Linked DNA regions of Callithrix jacchus. The main gene of each other region encodes a partner of the protein of the gene in region 3 in a complex. Links are inferred from orthologs where the notes say so. Each region holds a gene or a part of one and is shown on either strand. Other genes may lie near its edges.

Region 1 (11,249 bases), on a different chromosome or scaffold from region 3:
TCCCAATAACAGTAGCAGGCCCAGCACCCCCACCATTAATGTGCTGGAATCAAAGGATACGGACAGTGATAGGGAAGCAGGGACTGAAACAGGGGGTGAGAACAATGATAAAGAAGAAGAAGAGAAGAAAGATGAAACTTCGAGCTCCTCTGGTAAGACACGTCTAATAATTGGGTTTTACTGTTCTGTGAAGTCTCATAATGTGAGGATTAAGGATATATAATGCACTGAATAATTTTCTTAGTTTTCAGTATAATGAGAAATCTAAGACCAGTGCTATCTCAAGAATGTGTAGCTGCATTGCTTCTGTTTCCTGCCTCCATGTGGCCCTACCGTAGCTTGTGATGTTTGCCCTGCTTGGTTGTTGGAAAGTTGATGCAGTTTATTCTCATTCTTTGTGCCATTTTTCTTTTTCGATCTTTCTTAGATAGGGAATAATGGAATTTGGATCATTTGGTTTAATATTCTTGATGTTCTATCAGTAGTTTTGGTTAGAGAGAAAATGTGAACTACTGATAAGTTAGTATTTTATGGATTGGATTTTAGTTGTCCTTGTCTTGTTTTTTTCTTTAAGCACATCCTGAATTTTACATCTTAATATTATTTCATCATTTATTAACCAGTGCTTACATTTGGTTTTGTAGAAGCAAATTCTCGGTGTCAAACACCAATAAAGATGAAGCCAAATATTGAGCCTCCTGAGAATGTGGAGTGGAGTGGTGCTGAAGCCTCAATGTTTAGAGTCCTCATTGGCACTTACTATGACAATTTCTGTGCCATTGCTAGGTTAATTGGGACCAAAACATGTAGACAGGTAAGATATCCGATAAAAATGTTCTTAAAAGAGCCTCAAACATAGGGATAAAAATGTACTCATTGTCCAAACAAAGAAAATTCTTGGTTATTACTAAGTTCCTCTTCATCTCCTAAAAATTATTTTTTCTTCTCAAGAGGGAATTGAATGAAAATTATTCTTCATGTACGTTACAGAATTTTCCCACTGTAGACATTTAAGGTTAGATTTTAAAAGCTAATAAGAATTTAAATTTAGCATCACAGTTCTTGACCGGAATATAATTACAGCCACCCCCAATGTGAGGGTAGAGACAGTGATGTCTGTTATATCCTGAGCATCTAGCAGTGTCACAGAAGGGACAAAAACATTTATCTGGTATGCATGAGTATAAGAATGGTTTGCCTTAATAAGACTGTCCTCATGGCTCTGTAACTGTGCCTCTTGTCAGGTGTATGAGTTTAGAGTCAAAGAATCTAGCATCATAGCTCCAGCTCCCGCTGAGGATGTGGACACTCCTCCAAGGAAAAAGAAGAGGAAACACAGGTGAGTCTGCCAGGAACCTCTTAGAGAAGTCAACACAGATAGACACTGCCCGCGAGGCCCTTCCTAAGGGCTGCTGTTGGTTTCTACTTAGTCTGTTTTTAAAAACCTTAAACTGCCATCAAAAACAGAACTGTGGAATCTTATTTCCACTGGGAATTGCTAGTATTTTTCTATAAGAATACAGCAGCCTTCAGTATATTTTGCATGTTAAGAGTCCTTAAAATTATGGTTACCAGACTGCATTTGAGTTAAGAAAAACTTACTTAGTAGTTTTTGCTGTGAAGGCTACATAAATAATTATTTTAACAACATGAAATGTTCTGTCTTTCTGATGTGAGCTCTGGGCCAGTTTTTAGAAGTATCTTTTATTCTAGGAGCTTGAATTTCTACATTGTGTGGCACTGCATTCCGATACTCTCAATAAGGCCTGTGGGAATGTTTTCAGGCTGGTTTGATTTATATCTGCTCTAATCTCCCCATACCTCCACCTCACATTTTTAAAAACAAGAAACAATTGGGTAGGTAAGGGTGCAGTTAGATTATGCTTCACAAATTATGTACAGGCTCGTGTTACATTTTGTTACTTTAAAGAAAATGTAGGGTCAACCCAATTTAGAATTTTTAAAAATCAAATGTTTTTTCTCCCCCATAAGAATTTAGGCTTTAGGAGATGCTTCTGAATTTTTGGTTGAATTATTTCTGACCATGTAGTTTACTTGATTGGTTAATGATGCCTGAAATTAGAGAAAGTGATCAGTACCATCCACATCAGAATAAATCAACAGACAGACACACCTGCTGCTTTGTGCAGCATTGGGAGCTCAGAGGTCTTGACCAGGAGTCATGGATAAACACAAGAAATGACGTCTTGCCACACCTGGGGCAGCCTGAGCTATCAAGCTGTTTGAATTGCTCCAAACTGATGGCAAGAATTAGCTGGGGGAGGGCATGACTCTTGGCTTCAATGCACTATGTGTTCATGGCACAGAGAGATCCAGTCAGGCAGCTCTCTCTTGTATTTGTAGCTTCCCTGCAGAAGTTTATGTTTGATTTTGTTTGTGTTTTTGCAGGTTGTGGGCTGCACACTGCAGAAAAATACAGCTGAAAAAGGGTTAGCATCTTTCCATTCCCCTTGTCATCGGCTTAACAATGTCTGCTTTGTTCTCATTTGTTTTAGAATAGTAACTGGATTAGGGCTTGGGTTATTCTAATATAATTGACTTCTGTACATTAAATCAATTTGAATGGAGGATGTCTGTTGATGAATCCCCAGTCGGTTCTCTTCTGTGAAGTGGAGGCTGACTGGAAGGTGCGAGTCCTAGTCAGTTGAAGGAGAAGTGCTTTGGGATGGGACTGAGATGTAGCCCTGCTCTAGATGGAGCTCACAAGCACTTGGGGGTGGGAGAGTATTTTTTCCATCATTCTGTAAACAGGAATATGTATAACATTATGCATTCAGTAAAGGAAGGCCAGCTGCACTCCACAGGTAGTAGGGAAGAATGTACTCTTGTTAATTGTGTATGATCGTTTCCCATCTCCCTGGATTCATTGGCCTGCATGATGTTATCTTTATTCAGACGGCTCCTCTAACCATGTTTACAACTATCAACCCTGTGATCATCCACGGCAGCCTTGTGACAGTTCGTGCCCTTGTGTGATAGCACAAAATTTTTGTGAAAAGTTTTGTCAATGTAGTTCAGAGTGTAAGTATTTGTTGCTTTGATGCAATTGCATGAGAACTAAATAGGCCTTTGGTCAGCAATTTAAAAAATCAAAAAGTGAGAACACAGGAGCACTCCCTTGTTTACTTTAGGAAATTCATCGATTCTACAGGTATTGATTGAGCCCCATACCTGGCCCCTGCCAGTGACCAGTCAGTTGCCTGGGTGTTGTGTGTCTATGTGTGTGAGGCAGGCAAAGTTGTATTAAAGGAATCCGAATTTTATTTTTTTCTTCTTTGATCATTTAAATTAAGTCATATTAAAGTCGGCACAGATTGTAAGAGAAATCTAGAAGGAGCTACCCACATAATTTTTGGGCACCAGAAGTTGTCAGAGTTTAGGAAGGTTTTAGTCTTCAGAATAAAGGAATGTAGCACAAATGTAGGGGATTATAATAATTGTTTAATGAAACTGCACATTAAGCTTGAATACTAAGGGAGTGTTTAGAACCAGGAGCTATTAGAATGGTCAAGGACCATGGATATTGTTTCATCCAAACCCTTTATTCACACTTACTTTAAATATATACATTATTTAACAAATGAAAAATGGAAGAACAACTCAATGGTGGTCTTTTTCAGTACAAACAGCTTTAACTTCGCTGTTAATACTTCCATTTCCTTGTCTATACAGTAGAGTAATAAGGCGGTTGTGAGGGTTGAGTCAGTCAGATGCTCAGTACAGCCCTTGCCACATATCTTTCTGCAAGTTCTTGCATATGGTGATGATTGTGATAGTCATGGTGTTGATGATGAGTGAAGAACCTCCACACCTCTCTCTGAAGGTCAAAACCGCTTTCCGGGATGCCGCTGCAAAGCACAGTGCAACACCAAGCAGTGCCCATGCTATCTGGCTGTCCGAGAGTGCGACCCTGACCTCTGTCTTACTTGTGGAGCTGCTGACCATTGGGACAGTAAAAATGTGTCTTGTAAGAACTGCAGTATTCAGCGGGGCTCCAAAAAGGTGAGCAACAAGTTGCTTCTGGAAGGTTGTTTTTAGTGATGCTAATCTCAGGATTGTCTTAGATGATTTCACTGGGGCAAAAAGTAAAAGTGATCCTTGAAAGGTACAACTGATAAGAGAGAAAGCGTTGATAATTTTCTCTGGGTAATGCACTCTGGGGCAGTCTCTTCATTCTAGAGAACACCGTACTGTGTTGGTGGGAGAAACCAGCAAATTCTGAGAAGTAGCCATTCATGGTATCAGATTTGAAATAGGAGCTGTTTAATAGAGATTTGAATTTCTCTTTATCTAGTATCCTTAATGCAAATAAATGGTGATTTCTATCAAAACACAGAGTCATTCTCATCAGATAGTATTTATAGGTTCCTTACTATGTAGGGTAAAAGATGAAATTTCCCACGGCAGGTTTTTATTTACTTAGTTCCTGTTTAATAACCTTGGAAAAAACCCAGCCAGGAATTATATATTTGAATTCTGGGAATTGTATGTAGGTAATTTTAACTGTATCAGTCAGGAAGTAATTATTGAGCAAAAGAAACTGCAACAACATGTATTTGGGAAATTTGTCTTTTTTTTTTTTTTTTAGGGTAGATGATAGGTTTTTCTCTTCAGTCAGTTCTTCTTATAATAATAACTGACATTTATTAAGCATGTAAAAATAGCAGGCACTGTTCTAAGTGCTTTAGTGGATTTGTTCATTGATCTTGATAACTCTGTGAGTGAGGAATAAATGTTAACCCCATTTTACCGGTACAGCAAACCCAAAGTCACAAGATTTGTAAAGGAGCAGGAGATCAAATCCCCCAGGCACTCACTCCCATTAACCTGCTCTTATGCTGCGTGTGTGTGTGTGTGTGTGTGTGTGTGTGTGTGTGTGTGTTGGGGGGTGTGGAGTAGACATATCTTTGATTGTTGGACCATTTATTTATGATTGAGATCACACTTTTTACCAACAAGTCCCCTTCAACCAGCAGTTCTGCTCCAGGCAAAACACTGAACTTCTCTTTGTTTTGTTCCCTTGTGTCTTTAAACCAAAGTCTGTGTTTATGGCAGATAGCTGTACAGGGTGGCAGGTTTTTTGTTTTTGTTTTTAGCTGTGATTTTTTTCTCTTAGGCATTTAAATCATTTTACTCTAGGCAGTTATATATCCATTTAGGTCATTGGGTCATGGTGATGCTGGTTCAGTTTCTGATGGCAATACCCATTCAGACCTAAAAATCTCCATTTCTCCCCCAAACAACTTGCCATTGCACTGCTTCCTCAGTTTGTTCAGAAAGAGGGTAATACTATTGATACTGACATGTCCTCTTTGTAAGACATTTTTTAGCTCTTAAAAATGTTAAACTATGTAGATACTTTTTTACCAATTAGGTTTCATTTGCATAGCAATATTTAGCTATAATTTAGTTTCTGCACAGAAGAGTATTTGGGAAGTTCACCTCACAGGTGAGTGGTAGGATGTTCCAGAATAGGAATAGATTGGAAGCTTGAGTGATCAGGAAGCCTTTGTAAAGGTCATAAGAAAATTTTGAATGAAAGCATAATAATGAGCCATGTTGAAAAATTGGCATGTGTTTGGGAACACATCCCTAACTCTATAATTTACTGCAGTGATCATCTTGGCCTTTCTGCTGAAAATAGACTACTGGACTGACAAGATCATGATGCCACCTCTTGGTAGATTTTCCTGAGGAAGTAGGGTGGAAGAACAAATTTAAAAGAAAGCTGCTGTGGGCTTCAGAGGGAACAAATGCCAGTGAAGAATCGGGGTGTCCTTGGGGGCATCTAGAACTGGTAATAGATGTCACTTGACGGAAGTAGAGGGAAAGTTATGAAGAGGAAGGTGATTTGGAGGTGCCCTTATATTAAATTCAGGATGAAAGTAAATTACTTAAGAAAATCAAGGGCTGAGGAGACCAGGCAGCCAAAGTGCAGCAGTAATGCAAACAACCAACAGCACCAAAAGTTTTTTCTGTAAGACAGTGATACTTCTCTGCTCTGTAAGAAAAACATAATTTTCATACTTAGCCAGCCATTCTCAGCAGCTTTCACACTGACTGAAGGTATGTGTCCATTACTGCCTTAGAACAGGTCTGAAGATTGACAGCAATAGCCTTGTTTTTATTCTGTAGTCTAATTTGTCCCTAGTCCATCTTTACCCTCTTCTTTGATTATATGATTGTGTTTTCTTCTCTAGCATTTATTGCTTGCACCATCTGATGTGGCAGGCTGGGGAATTTTTATCAAAGATCCTGTGCAGAAAAATGAATTCATCTCAGAATACTGTGGAGAGGTAAGCACTGATCACCTATATTCAGGTGGCATTGTATATAACAACTTTTCTTTATTTTAGATTGATTTCATTTGGTAGGTCTGTGGGTTTGATTGGAAATGAATTGCCATAAACTGCCTTTTCAGCCTGGACTTCTGCAGGTTGTGGATTTGCATGCTTAGTAACAACTGGATGGTGCTGGGTGCGGTGGCTCACTCCTTCAATCCTAGAACTTTGGGAGGTTGAGGCAGGTGGATTGCTTGAGCTCAGGAGTTGGAGACCAGCATGGGCAACATGGTGAGACCCCATTGCTACAAAAAAATGCAAAAATTAGCTGGGTAGGGTGGTGCATACCTGTAGTCTCAGCCACTTGGAAGCTGAGGCAGGAGGATCACTTGAGCCTGGGAGGTTGAGGCTGCAGTGAGCCATATTTGTGTCATTGCATTCCATCCTGGGTGACAAAGTAAGACCCTGTCTCAAAGGGAAAAAAAATAACTGGATTGCTTTGATTCTAGCCAAATACAGCTTTTCTCATTGAGGGACAACAGGGAGAACAAGAGCTTTATCATAGTGTCCTGCTTAATCCACAACCTAGTTGATAAGGACCTAGAAACAACAGTGTCATTAGTTACTCACCTTTTAAATTGTTGCGTTAAAGAAAAATCATAGGGCTAGCTTCAGTTTGGAACCAACTCACCCAATTTTTGTGTTTCACCCCCTGGCCTTTGTTTTTGAGGTGAAGCTCTTACTGCCCAGGCTAGAGTGCAGTGGCATGATCTCTTCTCACTGCAACCTCTGCCTCCATCTCCACGGTTCAAGCGATTCTGCCTCAGTTTCCCCAAGTAGCTGAGATTATAGGCATGCACACCACATGGCTAATTTCATATTTTTAGTAGAGATGGGGTTTCTCCATGTTGGACAGGCTGGTCTTGAACTCCCGACCTCAAGTGATCCACTTGCCTCTGCCTCCCAAAGTGCTGGAATTACACGCATGAGCCAAACTCTGTGTGTGTGTGTGTGTGTGTGTGTGTGTGTGTGTGTGTGTGTGTGTAACTCAGCAAAAAGACTTTTGTTTCTTACTTTCTCCAAGGATAATTACTTTGGGATGTGGAAATATTTCTGAGTTGAGGGTCCAGTGTGCAGACTGAATGGGAAAGAGAACTTGGCAGTAGTGACCCTTTTTGTTGAATATTCTCCAGAAGGTCCAGTATTCACTCTGTGAACTTTTGTGTGTTCTGTCAGGCTTGATCACCTTTATCCAAAAGAATTTTCTCCTGTGTCTTTCTCTTTAGATTATTTCTCAAGATGAAGCTGACAGAAGAGGGAAAGTGTATGATAAATACATGTGCAGCTTTCTGTTCAACTTGAACAATGGTATGTTTTTGAGCTGGGAGGCAGTGAGTTCCTCTGAATTGCATGTGGCAGCCTTTTGCTGCATGCAATTTCTGCTTCAGAAATGAAGGTAGAGGTCAGTGAGGTGACCGGAAGGAAGATCTCCACAAAGGCATTGGGGCTGCTTGCTGGAAAGGAACTGGAGCAAGGAATTCCTCAGGTAGCAAATACTAGGAAACCGCCTCTAGAGTCCCAGCCATCTGTGGATGGGGCTGCACCAGTCTCTGGCTGTGAAGGGGACATTGTGCTCTGTTGCTGCTCACCTCTTGTGTTCCAGAAGCTCAGCACACCTCCTCCAGTCAGTGCTTCTGACCAGGAGGGAGCACTGCATTTGAAAGCATCTTCCAGACTTCCCTGGATATTCTCAAAGGACTGAGAGGAAAGGCAGCTTCTTGCATAGCTGATATATGTTCTAGGGTAGAATGTAAGGCTATAGGGAGTGTTTTGGTGGGATTATATGAAAATGGAGGTAGGCTTAACATGTAAGATACTCAGAGAAACTGTTAGTTGGAAGTAGTAGGTTTTTTTCTAAGAATGCTTCATAGACATTAAAATTAATTTTAAATGTGAAAATGCCTATTCTTGAAATTTGGAAGAATTTAGATTCTGGTTTTTTGGCCATGTTTTGCTCAGTCAGATATGTTTATAGTTGATAAGTAATAGCTTTTGAATCAGATAACCATCTTGAATTACAGGTGATTAAATTTAACCTGGAACAATAAATAGTATGTTCTTCCAAATGTCATTTCTTACATAATGAAGTTGGTTGAATGGTTTATTTGTTTTTTGCAGGCAAACCCTAAAGAACTATAACCAGTTGCATTTACAGAATCATAATAACTTGATTGACTTAAAACTGAAATTCACTGGGTTGTGCATATTTTTTTTTTTTTTTAGATTTTGTGGTGGATGCAACCCGCAAGGGTAACAAAATTCGTTTTGCAAATCATTCGGTAAATCCAAACTGCTATGCAAAAGGTAGGTACCTTTGAAGTCAGAATTGGAGCTCCCTTTTCCATCCTGTGATGATGGACTTGAGTACTTCCGGGATACTTTGTTATGTGAACAAGTCGGTAACCACTCGTTGCTCTTCATGCTCACTAACACCGGTGTCTCTCTTTCCAGTTATGATGGTTAACGGCGATCACAGGATAGGTATTTTTGCCAAGAGAGCCATCCAGACTGGTGAAGAGCTGTTTTTTGATTACAGGTTGGTAAAGTAAATTTCTAGCATGATCTCTAAGGGCTTTTTCTACTGGATTTTGAACTCTGGACAAAGAATATTTTTTAGATGTGCTGTCTCTGAGGTGTGGGGTGAATTCTTTGACAGGTCAGTATTTGCCATGGCCATTAGTAGGGAATTAGGTTACACTTTCCTCTTAAGTATTCATTATCCATTTATTTGTTATACAAGTCATGCTTATTTTAAAAACAGAATAAAATCCATGCAGAAAGCCCCATTTCTCACCCTGCTATTGACAGGTGGGTGAGTCGTAGACCTTTTCATATCATGCTGCATGCTTGCTTGTGGAACATTTTCCAGAGTAAATGTGATCACACTGTCCTGTAGATTTTTCTGCAACATGGTTTTACTTGACAGTATACTATGTATATCTTTACTGATTAGATCTACTTACTTTATTGCTTGCTACGATACTTACTACACAGGTTATTATTTTAAAAGGTGCTGGTGGCAAACTGCTGCTTGGTCACCGTGGGTTGTTTCTGGGGGGGAGGTGCTGGCACTTGTGAGCCACCGATGGTTTCTAACTGTATGGTTAGGCATTAGGTTGCCAGTTGATGCTGTCAAGCTCTGTGGGATAAACTTAATACAGATTTAAGTGCAATCAGGTGACTGTCTAGTTCATGAACTCCTTTGGCCCCGTATACATCCCATCCAGAAGCTCTTTGTCAGTACTGAGTTCTTGCGTATTCGGATTGGCGTTTAATGTCTGCTGCACGGCCGAGAGCTCTCAGTGAGGCAGATGAGGTCTGAGTGAAAGGCCCCCTTTACCAAAAGGCCACTTCATTCCAGGCCTGCTGTGAATGAAGAGTGGGGGGTGGAGCTGGGGTTGGAGGTAAAGCTATCCAGCTTCCTTGGGTTGGCCCGGTGGTCCCACCCCGCAGATGGGCTTCTTGTGCTTCTTCCTGGGTGTCTGCTGCACTCTAGTTCTTTTTTCACTGGGGGAGTGACTGACAGCTGTTCTTGGGCCCTCTTTGCTGTGGTCATCGTGCTTTCCAGACCATGGTTCTGTTTTGCCGTTCAGCGTCAGGCCCATCATTGCGTGCACCCGCTTTCCTGGGGCCACTTGCTTCAGAGGCTTAGGGGAAGGCTGGGCAGAGCTCTGGCCAGGTTTGTTCACTTCGGAACTTGGCGGAGTCTCAAGTAGATGGCCAGCAACATAGACCAATGCATTGCTTCTATGAATGCCCTTATGCAGGCAGCCATGTAATTGTTGGATGTATGTGTATATGTTTTTTTTTTAAAGACATTTGAATGCACTCACTGTATTGAGCAGGCTTTGTTAAGTCTCAGCACATGTTGGATGGGGGTCATCCACCAGACGTGCTTTTTCCTGTTGTTTCAGATACAGTCAGGCTGATGCCCTGAAGTATGTTGGCATCGAAAGAGAAATGGAAATCCCTTGACATCTGCTACCTCCTCCCCCTCCTCTCTGAAACAGCTGCCTTAGCTTCAGGAACCTCGAGTACTGTGGGCAATTTAGAAAACAAAAATGCAGTTTGAAATTCTGAATTTGCAAAGTACTGTAAGAATAATTTATAGTAATGAGTTTAAAAATCAACTTTTTATTGCCTTCTCACCAGCTGCAAAGTGTTTTGTACCAGTGAATTTTTGCAATAATGCAGTATGGTACATTTTTCAACTTTGAATAAAGAAATACTTGAACTTGTCTTTGTTGAGTCATCTCTCACTGCTTTCAGGACTGTAACAAACAAAACACTTTTAAATTTAACTCGGGTTTTTTGTCTTCATATGAATCTTGATTTAACAGATACTGCTTGTGGATACGTGGAGGATGGCCATATATGAAGAGCACTACCGTGCACCCTAAGGGCTTACCCGGTAAAGGGCTGGATCTTACAGGCAAGACCAGGGTGGGTACGTTCCAGTCAGCTGTGCAACCTGAAGAAAGTGATGTAACCTCCAAGTCTGTTCCCCATGTATAAACTGACTGACCGAGTAGACTTCAGGGATTTTTAAGAACCTTCCTAGTTCTAAACTCCATTACACTAGAGTTTTTCAGAAATACAAGATAAGTTGGGATTCCTTACCTACCTACAAAAGGTGACAGGTATAAAACCAAACTGTAGTTTTATATCTTCTCAAAGAGGAGGTAAAAAACACAAAACTCTAAAAGTGTCAAGGAAACGACATTTACCTTGCATGCCTTGTGATAGTGTGGTTGGTTTCAGAATCTGAGGTCACTTCCCCTCTCCTTTCTCCAAGTACATTCACCAACATCATCGTGGGACCCTCACAGCTGCTGCAAACCAGTCCACACCGTTACTTGGCAGTTGCCTTTTCTATAGTTAGATCAG
Region 2 (11,249 bases), on a different chromosome or scaffold from region 3:
GCTGGTTTTTATATTACTGTATTAAGTGAGAACTCCTCAATCAGGAGTATTTTCTGCAGTTTCACTGCAAATAACCACACACTTCCCAACGTGTCCTTCCAACAGTAAGGAAATAACTGATTTCATGATCACTGTCGGAAATGAGTGCCATAATTCTATTATGGGCATAGGTCCTCCCTCAAAGACTTTCTGGAAGGATGTTCAATTTGTTTTGTTCTGATAGATATTAACAGTAGTACAGAGTCCCTTAAGTCTGCGAAAGACATTTATTGTTAAAGAAGGTGCTTTTATTAACAATTCCTCTGGCAGCACTAGTGAATTACCATAGCCTTCAATATTATTTCTACCATAATATATACATTTAACTTCCATGCCTCTAGAAAAACATCTACAGTACATTTCAAAATATAAAAATATATTACAAATCTGCTGAATTATTTACAAGCAATGTTCTATTATCTCTATGCAACATTTGTTTAATACAATACTAACAAGTTACACATATTTCCATTTCTGTAAGTTAAAAAAAATCGATATGGCTTCTTGCTTACCAAGCAAGAAAGTGATTTTATTTTCCTTTTCAAAACCAACTTTGGTGCATAAAAGATTCAGTTTGAAGATACTTGTAAAAAAAATACAATTTTTCTTACATTAAGAAAAAACAACTCAAAAACCAAATGATTTCCTCAGAAAAAAATTAGAGTCATATAGGTTAAATGAAAATATGAAGATTGTTCAAATAATTTGAAAGGTTTTTCAAAAACCGTTAACAGATTAGTTATATAGGTAAATATGAAGGTACTGTACCCCATGAGGAAGCCCTAGTCCTGCAAAGGGAGCCACCAGACATACTGCAACACTCTTTAACAGTAATTCTCAGCCCTAATTCGATAGACGAATTTTTAGTTGATTGCAAACGTCGTTCACTGTTTGCTTAAATACAAATTGAACACTTTTCTTATCAGAGTTCTGCAAAAGAACACAAATGGCAACCAATCACATCTATTTATCATAATTGAAAAGTAAATTATCTCTTGATAATTTTCATTGTCTAAATACTTCCTAATATGACTTCAAATCAATAAACACTGTCAAGACAAATATCGTTACAGTGCTTTTGGTGTTTGTAAGGGCACATGTTGTAATTGTTTTTCTTTCCAATATAAACTACTGAAATCACTAAAGGGGGGGGAAAAAAAGAAAAGCAGCTTAAAGCAGCAAGCATGCAAAGCCTTTAAGAAGCTGTTCTACTAAGTTGCCAAAAGAGTGTTTGCTCAGTCTCCCACAGTACCATTCCATGAAAATGTGGATATACAGTAATATATTAATATATTCCACTGAAGAGTCTACTTCATTCACAGAATGTTTACACTAAGCATAAATATTATCCTAAATACTGGATTTTTTTTTTTTAAAAAAAAAAAAAAAAAAAAAAGGAAGGGGTTGACTCTAATGTGCAACTTTTCCTAAACCCATTGTCAGTGACTAAGACTGCAGGTGTCCCCGCTTGTTTGCTTTTTATGTATTTATTTATTTTTTACCTCTTCAACCTCTTCTGCGGCATTGTTCTAGAAAAAGAGAAAAAGAAATTCTTTTATTCAACTAAATCAAACACACTGCTTCAAGAGACATTAAAAATATTTCTAAGATACAGGCAATGTGACGATCATAGAGTATAATGAAAATTTATTTCCAAAACATTTATACATATGGATCCATACTTAGTTACATAATAATCGTTGCTTAATAGAAGTTTTAAATTTCGCCTGCTTGTGCGTTTCTAAGATAGAATTCCATGTGTAACACATACATTTTAGGCAACTAGTACTTTAAAACCGACGCTTGGCTGGGTCTGAGTGGCTCATGCCTGTAATCCTCCCAACAGTTTGGGAAGCGAAAGCAGAAAGACTGCTTGAGCCCAGGAGTTCAAGATAAGCCTGGGAAGACAGACAGATGTGGTCTCAGAAACAACTAACCCTGAAGCTTAAATCCCAAATAAATTCAGTTGTCCCTCGGCATGCACAGTGGGAGTGTGGGGGTCCCCAGAACAGAATTTCCTGCAGATTCCAAAATCCAAGGAAATAGCAGGATTTCCAAATAACCTGCATCCATCCTTCTGCATACTTATAATACTTAACATAATATAAATGCTATGTAAACCAGCGTTATCCTACACTGGTCTTTTATTTGTATTTTTTTTGTTGTTGTATTGTTATCTTTTACCCCCAAATAGCTTTCATACACAGTTGGTTGAATCCATGGATGTGGAAGCTGTGGATACAGAGGGCCAACTGTGTATTTTGTCTCATTTTGAAGAAATATATTTTTCAGAAGGTTTGCCATGCTTTCATTTTGATATGTGCACAAGAAGGAAATTATTTCTCCTAAAAACAAGAAAGAATAATTTTCTTATTTTAATTAATTTCACAAGTTTTCCAAATCAAAATCCAGAAATTTAAGAAAAGACTGCTACACCAGGGCAAATCTGTACCACTTTACAGCACACTCAATTCTGATTTTCAGAACAGTGAAAGCATGAAGAGTCAAAGGTAAGTTTTATGGTGGCTTTTTTTTTGGACACAGTCTCGCTCTGTAGCCCCAGTTGGAATGCAGGATGCGTTCTTGGCTCCCCGCAATCTCCGCCTCCTGGGTTCAAGTGATTCTCATGCCTCGGCCACCCAAGTAGCTGAGATTACAGGCGTGCACCACTATATTCGACTGATTTTTGCATTTTTAATAGAAACAGGATTTCATTATGTTGGCTAGGCTGGTCTCGAACTCCCAGCCAAAAGTGATCCATCCATCTCGGCCTCCAAAAGTGCTGAAATTACAGCCGTGAGCCACCTCGCCTAGCCAAGATGGTTTTTTGGATACGGGTAAGGAAAATTAAATCCACAGAAGCACCTAATATATCCTAATAACATTCTCATTTCCAACAATAAAATCGGTAAGAATTGTGGAATCACACACATATTTGAGAATATGCAACCCTGTTCCTATGAACTTCAGAATATCTGTTCTAAGCTTAATTTTTTTCAAGTCACTTTCACTAAAATATCTCAATTGCTTCCTACATAGCACAAGAGCAGAAAAAAATAAGCTGGTTTGGTGAGAAGGCAAGACTCTTTGAAAGAAGGAAGTAGGATGCCGGGCAGAAACACAGACTAATCTTACTTTAAGATCCATGCTCCTTCGACAACTCTCTGAGTGGTAACTTGTAACCTTCCCAAATTTTTAGTAGTAGACTACTCTCAATCTTCTTCTCCTTGATGATCTAGTTCATTCCACAAAGAAGAAGTTTTACTGTATTAATTAGCACTTTCATCAAAAGAAGTTCGAGAAGAAACTTCTTTTTTTCAGACAGGGTCTCACTCTATCAGCCAGGCTGGAGTGCAGTGGCACGATCTTTGCCTCACTGCAACCTCGAACTCCCAGGCTCAAGCAATCCTCCCACCTCAGCCTCCTGAGTAGCTGGGACCACAGCCATGTGCCACGATGCCTGGCTAATTTTTGTATTTTTTTGTAAAGATAGGGTCTTGCTATGTTGCCCAGGCTGGTCTTGAACTCTTAGACTTCAGCAATCTGCCTGCCTCAGCGTCCCAAATGCTGTGATTACAGGCATGAGCCACTGGGCCCACCCAAAAACACCTTTTTTGTGGTAGGGAAAACTGTTTCCACATGGAAATGTCTATAGTTAGACTTTCACTCATAGAATAATGTCTCAAATTACAGGAGTCTATGTGAGTAACACTCAGAAAGTACATCATGGAATGAATACGTCCTCCAAAGTGTCACTATAAAATTAGCTATCTTTACAACAGCTAAAATACACAAAGTTTCATTCAAAAAGACATAAAGCCCTTTCGGTAAGACTGCCTTTTAAAAGCTGGTTTTAAGCATTGCCACCACTTTTTAAATCACTCTAATGTACCTCATTTGGATAGAGGCACCATGGAGTTCAATCACATTCTGTAGACCTTAGGTAGACTATTTAACCTCTTGCCTCAGTTTTCCAATCTGTAAAGCAGAGACAGTAAAACCTACCTCACAGAGCAGCCGTGAGGATAAAGTATACAAAGCACCTAGCAAAGTGACTTAGCACACAGACAGAAATTCTGGTCTCTTCTCCTTCCCCCCATACCTTTATAAGCATAGTACACTAAAAAAACTCAAATCATAAAAGTACTAGAAATGTGAACACTCTAAGCTACATATAAAAAAACAAACAAATAATATTTGAATTGCTCTTTCAGAAAGTTTGGAGAAAGTGTAAGTTCAAAAAAAAAATCAAAACAGTTTTGGTATTTCAGACTCATGCAACGTATTAGGTCCACAAAAGTCTGTTACTATGTAAGAAATTACCTTGTTAAAAGGGCATTTATCTTCAAATTACTACTTAAGATAAATCTGGGATTAAACAAGCATATAAACTTTAGCAAAATACTATTTTCCTGGATTGTACAATTTTTAAACTTTTTGTGAGTCCACACACCAAAGGAAAAAAATGCCAGGAAGTAGTAAGATATGCTTGATATTAAAATTCGGTTCTGAAAACTAAGTCCTAATTTATCCAAATTTGGGGGAGAGAAAATTACAATTCAAAAAGTAAAACATAAAGGCAAGAATTAAATTACCTGTATATGTTTGGGTCCAAAAGCAAGGCAGTATCTTTGGGTAGCTTTGATAAATGAACTACTTTAGTTTTTAACTGATGTCGTTCACTTTCATTCACCCACACATCAGGCAGACTATGAATTAAAAAACAAGTCAACGGTAAGATAACATTCATTTTAGATTGACACTTCCTGTGCCTGCACATTCTGGCATTTTCTGTCCATATTAAGTGAACAAGTTTCCCGGAAGCCAAGTTTCCCGGAAGCTAGCAAATTTCTTTACTGAGAGAGAAATAAAAGGGTCTGGCATGTTGGCTCATGCCTATAATTCCAGCACTTTGGGAGGCCAAGGTGGGAAAGATCACTTGAGCCCAAGAATTCAAGCCTAGAATGGCCAACATGGTAAAAACCCATCTCTACTAAAAATACAAAAATTAGCTGGGCATGGTGGCACACAGCTGTAATCCCAGCTACCCCCGAGGCCAAGGCATCACTTGAACCCAGGAGGCAGAGGTTACAGTGAGCCAAGAGTGCACCACTGCACTCCAACATGGGCGGCAGAGCAAGACTGTCTCAAAAATAAATAAATAAATAGATAAAAACCCTGGAAGATTAAACTCCATTTAAAAAAAAAAAAGCATGTGGCTACAATACTAAATTCAAAAAAATTCAACTCTGTAAGAAAATTAAAATAAATGTATTTTGATATTTGGATTAATCAACTTTCAAAACATTAGAATACACACATCTAAATTTGATTTTTTTGGAACAGGGTCTCGCCCCGTCACCCAGTCTTGAGGGCAGCGATTCAATCACAACTCAATGCAGCTTCAACCTCCTGGGCTCAATCCATCTTCCCACCTCAGCCACCTGAGTATCTGGGACTACAGGCGACAACATCACAACCAGCTAATTTTTTTGTTTTTTGTTTTTTTTCCTGTAGAGACGAGGTCTCACTATGTTGCCCAGGCTGATCTCAAACTCCTGGCCTAAAAGCGATCCTCCTGCCTCAGCCACACAAAGCACTGGGATTGCCAGCATAAACCACTGTGCCCAGCTATTGGCCGCATATGTGAATTTGGTATGCATAATAAAATCTCTTTCAATTACATTTATTCAATTCTTGATACTTAAAAATTTTGTCCAAAATTTCTGTAAGATACCCTGATTTCCTTTTTATAAAATGAAAATTTTAATTAAAAAGATAAAAAGAAAATTAAACATGAAATATCTGAACTGAGAAACATCTAGGTCAAAAGTGCTATGAATAGGCACTAAAACTCAAAAAAATGTAATCACTGCTAGAAAACTAGTCAATTGCCTTTTTTTTTTTTGATGTACAGCAAAACCACAATCAGAAGAATTTTTTTTCTTTTGGTCAACTGCTTTTTCTATAAAATATCATTCATTGTATGCTAGAGAACATTTACAAATTTTTAAAATAAATGATTCAAACAAAGGCACAGTTATGGCTGCTTGTATACTGCTTGGAGGTCCCTAAAAATCCTAAAAATGATTAAAAATTTCTACGACTACTTCTTCCTGTGCCTCAGTCTCCCGAGTAGCTGGGATTACAGGTGCATGCCACCACACCCAGCTAATTTTTGCATTTTTAGTAGAGATGGGGTTACACCATGTTGGCCAGGCTGGTCTCAAACTGCTGACCTCAGTGATCCACCCGCCTTGGCCTCCCAAAGTGCTGGGATTACAGGTGGCAGCCACAGCTCCCAGCTTAAACAAAAAAACCTTAAGTTTCAAAGCCTGTAAGGTAAACCAGATAGTCTAAGACTTTTCAGATTATCTCTTTAATCCTGACAACCTCAAAATGTTTTACAATGTAATTTTTGTTTGAATTTAATAACAAATAATTTTTGTGCTTAGGATTTTAAAAAAATAAAACATAAACTTATTAAATGTTACACAGGGTATTTCAAATACTTACATATCTTCAGGCATCCAATGAAGCAAAAGTTTTATCTTCCCAGAATCTTCTTTTCTCTTAGCTATTACCTAATAATGAAATGAAAAAAAAAATCATAAAACAATTTGCAAAACATCATTTTCATGCATTGTTAAAAAAACACTTTTGGGGCTGGGCACAGTGGCTCACGCCTGTAATCCCCACACTTTGGGAGGCCAAGGTGAGTGAATCACAAGGTCAGGAGCTCGAGACCAGCCTGGCCAATGTGGTAAAACCCCATCTCTACTAAAAATACAAAAATTAGCCAGGCATAGTTGCAGGCTCGTGTAATCCCAGCTACTCTGAAGACTGAGGCAGGAGAATCACTTGAACTCAGAAGATGGAGGTTGCAGTGAGCCGAGACAGAGCCACTGCACTCCAGTCTGGGAGACAGGGTAAGACTTCATCTTATTAAAAAATAAAAAAGTGGCTCACACCTGTAATCCCAGCACTTTAGGAGGCCGAGGCGGGCAGATCACGAGGTCAAGAGATTGAAACCATTCTGGCCATGGTGAAACCCCGTCTCTACTAAAAATACAAAAATTAGCCGGGCATGGTGGCACGCGCCTGTGGTCCCAGCTACTCGGGAGGCTGAGGCAGAAGAATCGCTTGAACCCAGGCAGGGGTTGCAGTAAGCCGAGATTGTGCCACTGCACTCCAGCCTGGCGACAGAGTAAGACTCCATCTCAAAAATAAATAAATAAATAGATAGATATAAACGTAAATAAATAAATAAAGGGGGGCCAGGCACAGTGGCTCATGCCTGTAATCCCAGCAGCACTCTGGGAGGCTGAGGCAGGCGGATCACCTGAGGTCACCAGCCTGGCCAACATGGTGAAAACCCATCTCTTATGTTTAAAAAAAAAAAAAAATTATAAAATAAAAAAAACACTTGTAATCAAGAACTTAAGTGTTCATACCCTGGAAAAGATAGTACCGCCACTACATCGTGCTTTGTAGTTCTTCCCTGCTTTGTAGCACTCAAACCTCTCTGTCTTTCCCACAAGGCTGAAAAGCCCATGACATAGGTCTTTTCTTACTCTATGAACCCTTTGGGTCATACCACCTATAGCAGTGTTTAGTATAAAATCAATTAATTAACCGTTTGGAACTCCATTCTAAAAAAATAAACCTAGATTCAGTAAAAGCTCTGTGCTCAAGGATGTTTGTATTACAGGGAACACCGTTATCACTTCAGGCCTAAAAAGGGGAGAGCAAATATCCCAACACTGAGATCTAAGAACTGTACTTGTTAATACCTATTATCTCCAGCCACTGCCGTAACTTATCCGAGTTCAGGTCTCCTTTCTTCTGGACCTCCTCAAGTCATCAAAGCTATTTTCAATACCCAGAAGGCTTTTCCCAAAGTACAAATTCCGTAGTATCACTTTCCTGATAAACTCTTCAACAGTTCCCCTGAGGACTTCTGAAAGGGTCACTCTAAGTGTGGTACAGAACACTCTTCAGGATCTGGCCTCTCTAGGCCTCCGCTGTTCGGGCTTTTCTGCCTTGAACTCCCTTAGCCTCATATTGAGAACAGTTTCCCAAACTATGTGGAACATATAAAAGAAGTATTGGACTGATCTGTAACTGAACGGAACATAACTCTCCAGGCTTTCTGCGCACCAGCAGCATCAATATTTTACAGAAGAACAATTATCATATTCAGATACTATTAGAGTACTGTGCACACAAAAGTAAAATAAAACAAATCCCACTCTACTAAAACTAAAGACTTATTTGTATGAAAACTCTTGTTCACAGCTTTTGGAAGGCTTCCTGAAGGTCCACGTCCTCTGTGGCTCACGCCTGCAATCTCAAAGCATGGGAGGCCAAGGTGGGAGGATCGTGTAAGTGCAGGGGTTCTACACCAGCCTGGGCAACATAGGAAACCCTGTTCCAATACAAAACATTAGCCAGCTGTGGTAGTGTGTGCCTGTTAACACCAGCTACTTGGGAGGCTGAGGTTGACAGGATTACCCGCGCCCAGGAGCTGAGACAGTGTCACTGCACTCCAGGCTGGGAGAAGGTGAGGCCCCACACCATCAAAAAAAAAAAAAAAGAGAGAGAGAGAAAGAAAGGAAATGAAAAAGGTCACTTATTTAAAAAGCGATATACTGCAGAATTACAGTAAAAATCAAGAACAAAAACTGTAACAAGTCTCATTAGGGTATCTCTAATAGCTTTTCAATTGTCTACAAGTTCTGGCTCCGCTTTAAATAAATAACGACTGCAGGGCCGGGCGCGGTGGCTCAAGCCTGTAATCCCAGCACTTTGGGAGGCTGAGGAGGTGGATCACGAGGTCAAGAGATCGAGACCATCCTGGTCAACATGGTGAAACCCCATCTCTACTAAAAATACAAAAAATTAGCTGGGCATGGTGGCGCGTGCCTGTAATCCCAGCTACTCAGGAGGCTGAGGCAGGAGAATTGCTTGAACCCAGGAGGCGGAGGTTGCGGTGAGCCGAGATCGCGCCATTGCACTCCAGCCTGGGTAACAAGAGCGAAACTCCATCTCAAAAAAATAAATAAATAAATAAATAAATAACTACTGCAAATCATTAGATTATATCTACATTTAAGTTTGGTTTATTCAAGAATTGTGACTAGAAACCCCAGTTAATTTATCTATACTCCAAAGTGTGACTTTGGCTCTCTATAACAAATTACTGAACATTCTTTTACATATTCAGAATAAATGTTTAAGTTACATACACTCCCATTTTTTGATTACTCATTTTAACTCAGGCAATTAACCTAAGCAACTACAGGTCTCAGTTAAGTCAAATAAAATTCACATCAAATTTGTACTCCCACCACCTCAGCACTTTCCTGCCTGGCATATGCAGTGTCTGCCATGCGCACACACAACGATACATCTCCTTTTTAGGACACGTGCATTATCACCTTTTCCGCACGGATCCTCCCCCACAGCTCTAATAATGAGTGAAGGGTCTCTTACTCTATGCCTCCAGAATGCTAAGTGCTTACTCTGCATTAGCATAGTACACCATTATTGCCAATCCTTTGTGTGCCTACCTGCTCTCACAGAGTGTGGTAGACAATTCAGTCTCTACCCCAGGTATTTCTAATAAATGCAGAATGCAAGCAGATGATTATAATGGAATACTATGCAGTCATTTCAAACTGGGTTCACACAAACACTAAAAAAACAAGTAACAGGCCTGGCATGGTGGCTCACGCTTGGACTTTGGGAGGCTGAGGTGAGTAGAACGCCTGAGGTCAGAAGTTTGTGACCAGCCTGGCCAACATAGGGAAACCTCATTTCTACTAAAAATACAAAAATTAGCCGGGCGTGGTTGGCGCATGCCAGTAATCCCAGCTACTCGGGAGGATGAGACAGGAGAATTGCTTGAACCTGGGAGGCGGAGGTCCCAACAAGCCACGATCTTGACACTGCATTCAAGCCCGGGCAACAAAGTGAGTGAGACTACATGAGACTATGCATCAAAAAAAAAAAACACACACAAAACAAAACAAGGAGCAATGGTACTAATATCAAAGTAAAAGGCACAAAGTCACACCACATGACTGTGACTGTCCAAAACAAAAGAAAAATGTATACGTTTAAGTAAAACATCCACTAATCTAAACAATTAAAATATGTACTACTCTAAGCAAACCTCAAAACAATAAAAGGAAAAACAAAAACCAGGTTTGCTTTGGCACTGAGATCGTGGCACACAACTTCTTCTACTTTTCTTTATTCTTTTAGTCTTTAATCACCTCAATTTTTCAACAAACTTTTCTCAACTTCATTTGTTTCTTCAAGCCAAGGTGTCACTCTGTCACCCAGGGAGTGCAGTGACATCATCTCGGCTCACTGCAACCTCTGCCTCCTAGGCTCAAGTGTTCTTCCCGCCTCGGCCTCCTGAGTAGCTAGAACCACAAGCGCAGCCACTACGCCTGACTCTGTTCGTTTTTTGTACCGGGGGGTTTCATCATGCTGCCCAGGCTGCTATCAAACTCCTAAGCTCAAGTGATCTGCCCCACCTTGGTCTCCCAAAGTGCTCAAATTACAGGTGTGAGCCCCAACACCCAGCCTCAGCTTCACTTTTAATCATGTATTTTCACAAAAGGAAAAAAACAAAAAGGAATTAAAGAAGCTTTAAATAATCAAACTAAAGCCATGTTATCATTATTAATTAAGGGAAAAAAATGCCATTTGTTTTGCTATCTAAGTATGTAGCTTACCTTAGCCAATCAAAAGCATTCATAGCAGATGAAATTTTTTTTTAAGTCTTTACATTCTTATTACTCACAGAAGTTTCATGTTTTAATCTAGCTTTCTGACTCTGTACTTGTGTCTTCAAAATTCACAACCATTCTCTGCTCCTCAATACGGAGAGCATGCTTGATCCTGTCACGAACACATTTACAACACGTGAAACCACCAAAGGCCATGTTTCTGTTTCGGACACTCTCATAAGAACTTTCGGTCTTACACCGTGAACACCTCAAGGTCTGCATGGGCACACGACACATGCAGATTTTGGTGCTTTCCCAACCTTCCTGGTGTAAAGGTGAACAACCCTAGTTTTGTTAGAGGCTGTATCGTAGGAAAGCCTACAACAGCATGAGTGCCTGCAGACAATGTCCCCGGAAGAGGAAGAAGAAAGTCTCTGAAATATCTTTAAATGAATAAACAGTAAAGAA
Region 3 (3,600 bases):
GAGGATTCCTCTTGGTGCGTGGCCCAGTTTTCCTTAGGACGGGCTCCAACCCCTCCCTGACACCGCCCCCCTCGCCGCCACGCTCCGAGGCCTTCCCCGGGGAAGCCTCGCGTCCCTCCCCCGCGGCTCTGGGGGGCGCGCGCGCGATTCCTCGATTCCACAGGCGGTTAGCGCCGCGGGTGGGGGTAGGGCGCGCGGGGAGGGGGCCGCCATGGGAGGGGGGCCGGAGGGGGGCCGGCGTGGGGAGTTCCTCGCTCGCGGACCACACGCTCCGCGGGCCAATCCCGAGCCAGCCTCTAGCAGTGTCGCACGCGGGACACGTCCAAGCGTTTGTTGGCACGGTCGGTGAGGGGGAGGGGGCCGAGGGAGGGAGGGGAGTTGAGTGACAGTCTTTGCGGGGCAGGCTGGGAATTGTAGTTCCCAGCTTCCGTGGCCATAGCCATTTTGTAGTCGGGGGACTACAACTTCCAGAAGATCAAGGGGACCATTCTAAGGTGCCCCGGGAATAGGCGGCTCTCCCCGGGGCCGGGCGCCTTGGGGCACTCGTACCCAGCAGCCCGGCTGCAGGTAGACGCGAGGGCAGTGGCGAGTGCTGGCGTGGGGCGGCCGTGGGGTGAGCGGCAGGCAGGGGAAAGGGGGTGAGGTGGAGCGACGGAGCGTGCCATGCATTGAGCTAGGGAGCCTCTCTCAATTTCACGCCTGTGCTCGGCGTGGGAGCGACGCCCAGGGCTTGCCTGGGAGGGGTTCGTCGAGGCCGCTCGGGTGTCTGGTTGGCCAGGCTGCGGGGGTGCCCTGGCCTGGGCCAGGGGCGGTCGGCACCGGGCTAAGCGGGCGCCTGGCGGCCGAGCGGTGGGAGTTTTCGGCTGGCGCCCGGCGGGGAATTACCCGAGGAGCCCTAACTTGTATAAAAGCAGAGTCCATTTAAAGTTGGGCTGGATAGCCTCTCTCTCATTGGTTAGGGGGCTTGGAAAAAAGACTCGGCGAGCCCTCGCTGTGGTGCTGCCGCCGCCGCCGCCGCCGCCGCTGGAGTTGACTCTTCTGCTCGCACTGCTGCTGCAGCACAAACGTGACTTCCAACATTTTTTATTTATCTTTCCCTTTTCTTTTCCAAGATGTAACTACGGATCAGACACTAAGGACCTTCACGTTTCGCTGATGTAGTTTTTGGAGGAAAAAGGGGGGGGAGTGAAGGGCGTCGGTTTTTTTTTTGTGTGTGTGTGTATGTGTTTCGGGGGAAATTTTCCATTATGAGTGTTTTACTAAAGTGAATTTTTTTTTGTTTGCTTCGTTCGTCTTTGGCTCTTTTTTTTTTCCTTCCCAATTTCGGATTTATTTCAAGGCGAATCTGGCTTTGGGGGAAGAGGAAGAAAAGTCGGATTACAAGATCAACCACCACCAACAACAATAAAAACCACCAGGATATTTTTTTGCAAATTTCTGACGGCTTTAAATTCATGAAGCAATTGTCCCCTTTTGCAATCAGCATTTGGATCTCAGAATGAGCAAGGAAAGACCCAAGAGGAATATCATTCAGAAGAAATATGTAAGTGCTCCTAACAACACATCCTTTGACTTGCAGTTTTAAGCAATGGCTGTGAATGTCAAGTTTATAGATAATTCTGCAGCTGAAGGGTTTTAAACACAGCGTCCGATAAGGCTGTTTCTTTCTTTTCTGAAAGAGGGCTTTTCAAGCAAAGTGGTGTCTGCCTAGTTTGGCTGAAAAAACAGATTGGTGTAGAGATACCTCAAGTAAATAAATTGACCTCGAATGACACAACCATAATCTAGTTTTAGATGAAAGGCAAGGGATTTTGGTGGAGCTTGAGGTGGCGGGGGCTTCGGTAATGTAACTAAACTGCATTCTCCAGCGGATTTGGCCCCATATTGCACTTTGCATGCAAATGAGCCTGTGTTATTATTATTAATGTTATTTGGAAAAATCGTGTAACGCGTGTTTGTTGGAAGCCCTTTAAGTTGCAATCGAGGGTCCGATTATGGCGATCTTCTCTTTGCACTGGCACATTAAATTTAATGTCTGTGGTCATTTTGGCTTATCTGGTTTGCAACATAAACCAGTTGGGAATCATGTTACAGCGAAAGCATTTGTTGGGTTTGACTTTAATTTAATAATGAGGCTGGTTTTGTTTGAAAAATTCATGATTTCCAGTTCTAGGGGAAAAGGGCACACACTATGGCTAATGTTTTTAAGTGTGTATGAATGCATATGTAAGTAACTACAAGTCATTTTTTCTTAACTGGGCTTCTGAAATTCGGTGATTATTCAGAGATTTAAATGGTTTGGAATAGTTAAATTGTGCATAGTACAGCTACGTTTTGATTGGCATGAGGAGTGTTTTTGTTTTGTGTGTGGTGCCTTTTTTTTTTTTTTTTTTAAGTTTGAGGGGAGGGAGGAAAGAAGGGGACCAAGGGATTAACCAAATATGCACTCCAGTGATCTGTGATTAGCTGCGTGCTTTAAAGAACTCATTTTTTCAGAAAAGGCCAAATGAACATACCTTAGCGTAAGAGGAAAGTTTTATTTAAGTTGAGTAGACAGATTGGTGTTAATATTTTCCCTTTTTGATCATTGTGGTGTGTGTAATGAGAGATGACCTTCGGTGCACTGGTTTTGTAAAAAATTTAATGGAAAAGCTGAATGCTTCTTCAAGAGAGCTGATTCTTATCTAGACACGTCAACTTCAAGTGTGAAAGAAATTCAAGGTTAGATAATCAAGTCCAACTTAGAAAGCTGTTCATAAAGAATTTAAGAATTAAAATACATCCGCATTGCAGAGGGCTGGGTAGAATGCAAAGGACTAGTTTAAACTCCGGCTGTAGAAACTGCACGGAGGCAACCTTGCCTCGAGCTGGACGCCTTCCCTGGGCACGTCCGTTTCGGATGCAGCCACAAAGCAAATGGGGTAGAACTTGGACGAGAACCCCACCCCGCCTCCCATTCCGGACCTTCTTGAGGTGGAGAGCAGCGTTGGGTGGGTTTTTTTAATTGCGGGCGGTCCGCGGATCGTGTCGAGTCCGGGCGTCCGGCTGCAACACCGTGGCTGGCGGCAGCCGCGGGAGGCACGGCACGAGTTAATGCTCCGGGAACAGAGGTGTTAGCGACGTGCTCGAGCTGGCTGCGGAGGGGACGGCGCGCCGGGGTCGCGGCCGGCTGGGCCCGGGCTGGGCCGGCGGGCGCGCGCGCGGCCTGTAGGGGGCAGACTCCGGGTTCCAGGCTGGCGCGCGAGGCGGGCACCGGGCTACCCTACCCGGGCCGGCTCGCAGGCAGGCGGGCACCGGCCTACTCGGGCCGGCTAGTAGGCAGGCAGGCAGGCTGGTGGGTGGGGCGCGGGGGCGGTGCGGCCTGCGGGGCGCGGGGAGGGGAGAGCGCGCGGGGCGGGGGCGTGGGCGTGCCGGGGAGGGGGCGCGCGGCGCACAGCTGCAGCCGGCGCCCCCCACCGTGCGCACGGCCGAGCATGGCGGCGGCCCGGCCGGCTTCCCTCGGCCCTGCCTGCGGGCTCCGACGCAGTCTCAGGAGCAACAGGTTAAGCCGGCGAGACGTCAGCGCACCCCCTCCCCGCCCCCGGGTTCTTCCCCCGCCGC

What was found.
Region 1: the proteins of JARID2 (region 3) and EZH2 are in contact, whole or in part, in a cryo-EM structure (PDB 8VNZ), measured with the Homo sapiens proteins. The link is inferred for Callithrix jacchus from reciprocal best matches to the Homo sapiens genes JARID2 and EZH2. Residues at the interface, in NP_004964.2 of Homo sapiens: Arg108, Pro109, Arg110, Leu111, Ala113, Gln114, Arg115, Lys116, Thr154; in NP_001190176.1 of Homo sapiens: Arg78, Ile131, Pro132, Tyr133, Asp136, Ile146, Lys156, Val157, Asp160, Arg161.
Region 2: the proteins of JARID2 (region 3) and AEBP2 are in contact, whole or in part, in a cryo-EM structure (PDB 8VNZ), measured with the Homo sapiens proteins. The link is inferred for Callithrix jacchus from reciprocal best matches to the Homo sapiens genes JARID2 and AEBP2. Residues at the interface, in NP_004964.2 of Homo sapiens: Ser148, Lys151, Pro152, Lys153, Thr154, Glu155, Asp156, Leu158, Thr159; in NP_001107648.1 of Homo sapiens: Arg407, Ala410, Ile411, Asn414, Leu415, Glu420, Ser421.

Annotation. Positions count from the first base shown.
Region 1 is NC_133512.1:98,903,176-98,914,424, forward strand, and holds the end of EZH2 (histone-lysine N-methyltransferase EZH2), read left to right. Parts: coding exon 1-152; intron 153-644; coding exon 645-814; intron 815-1,244; coding exon 1,245-1,339; intron 1,340-2,409; coding exon 2,410-2,450; intron 2,451-2,916; coding exon 2,917-3,042; intron 3,043-3,844; coding exon 3,845-4,023; intron 4,024-6,221; coding exon 6,222-6,317; intron 6,318-7,588; coding exon 7,589-7,670; intron 7,671-8,585; coding exon 8,586-8,666; intron 8,667-8,813; coding exon 8,814-8,898; intron 8,899-10,276; coding exon 10,277-10,337; 3' UTR 10,338-10,601; downstream 10,602-11,249. UniProt on the Homo sapiens protein: Polycomb group (PcG) protein. Catalytic subunit of the PRC2/EED-EZH2 complex, which methylates 'Lys-9' (H3K9me) and 'Lys-27' (H3K27me) of histone H3, leading to transcriptional repression of the affected target gene.
Region 2 is NC_133510.1:3,955,102-3,966,350, forward strand, and holds part of AEBP2 (zinc finger protein AEBP2), read right to left. Parts: intron 6,624-11,249; coding exon 6,556-6,623; intron 4,749-6,555; coding exon 4,635-4,748; intron 1,569-4,634; coding exon 1,542-1,568; intron 970-1,541; coding exon of another isoform or gene 924-969; exon of another isoform or gene 1-923. UniProt on the Homo sapiens protein: Acts as an accessory subunit for the core Polycomb repressive complex 2 (PRC2), which mediates histone H3K27 (H3K27me3) trimethylation on chromatin leading to transcriptional repression of the affected target gene.
Region 3 is NC_133505.1:15,485,862-15,489,461, reverse strand, and holds the start of JARID2 (protein Jumonji), read left to right. Parts: upstream 1-995; 5' UTR 996-1,498; coding exon of another isoform or gene 1,499-1,543; intron 1,544-3,216; exon of another isoform or gene 3,217-3,334; intron 3,335-3,600.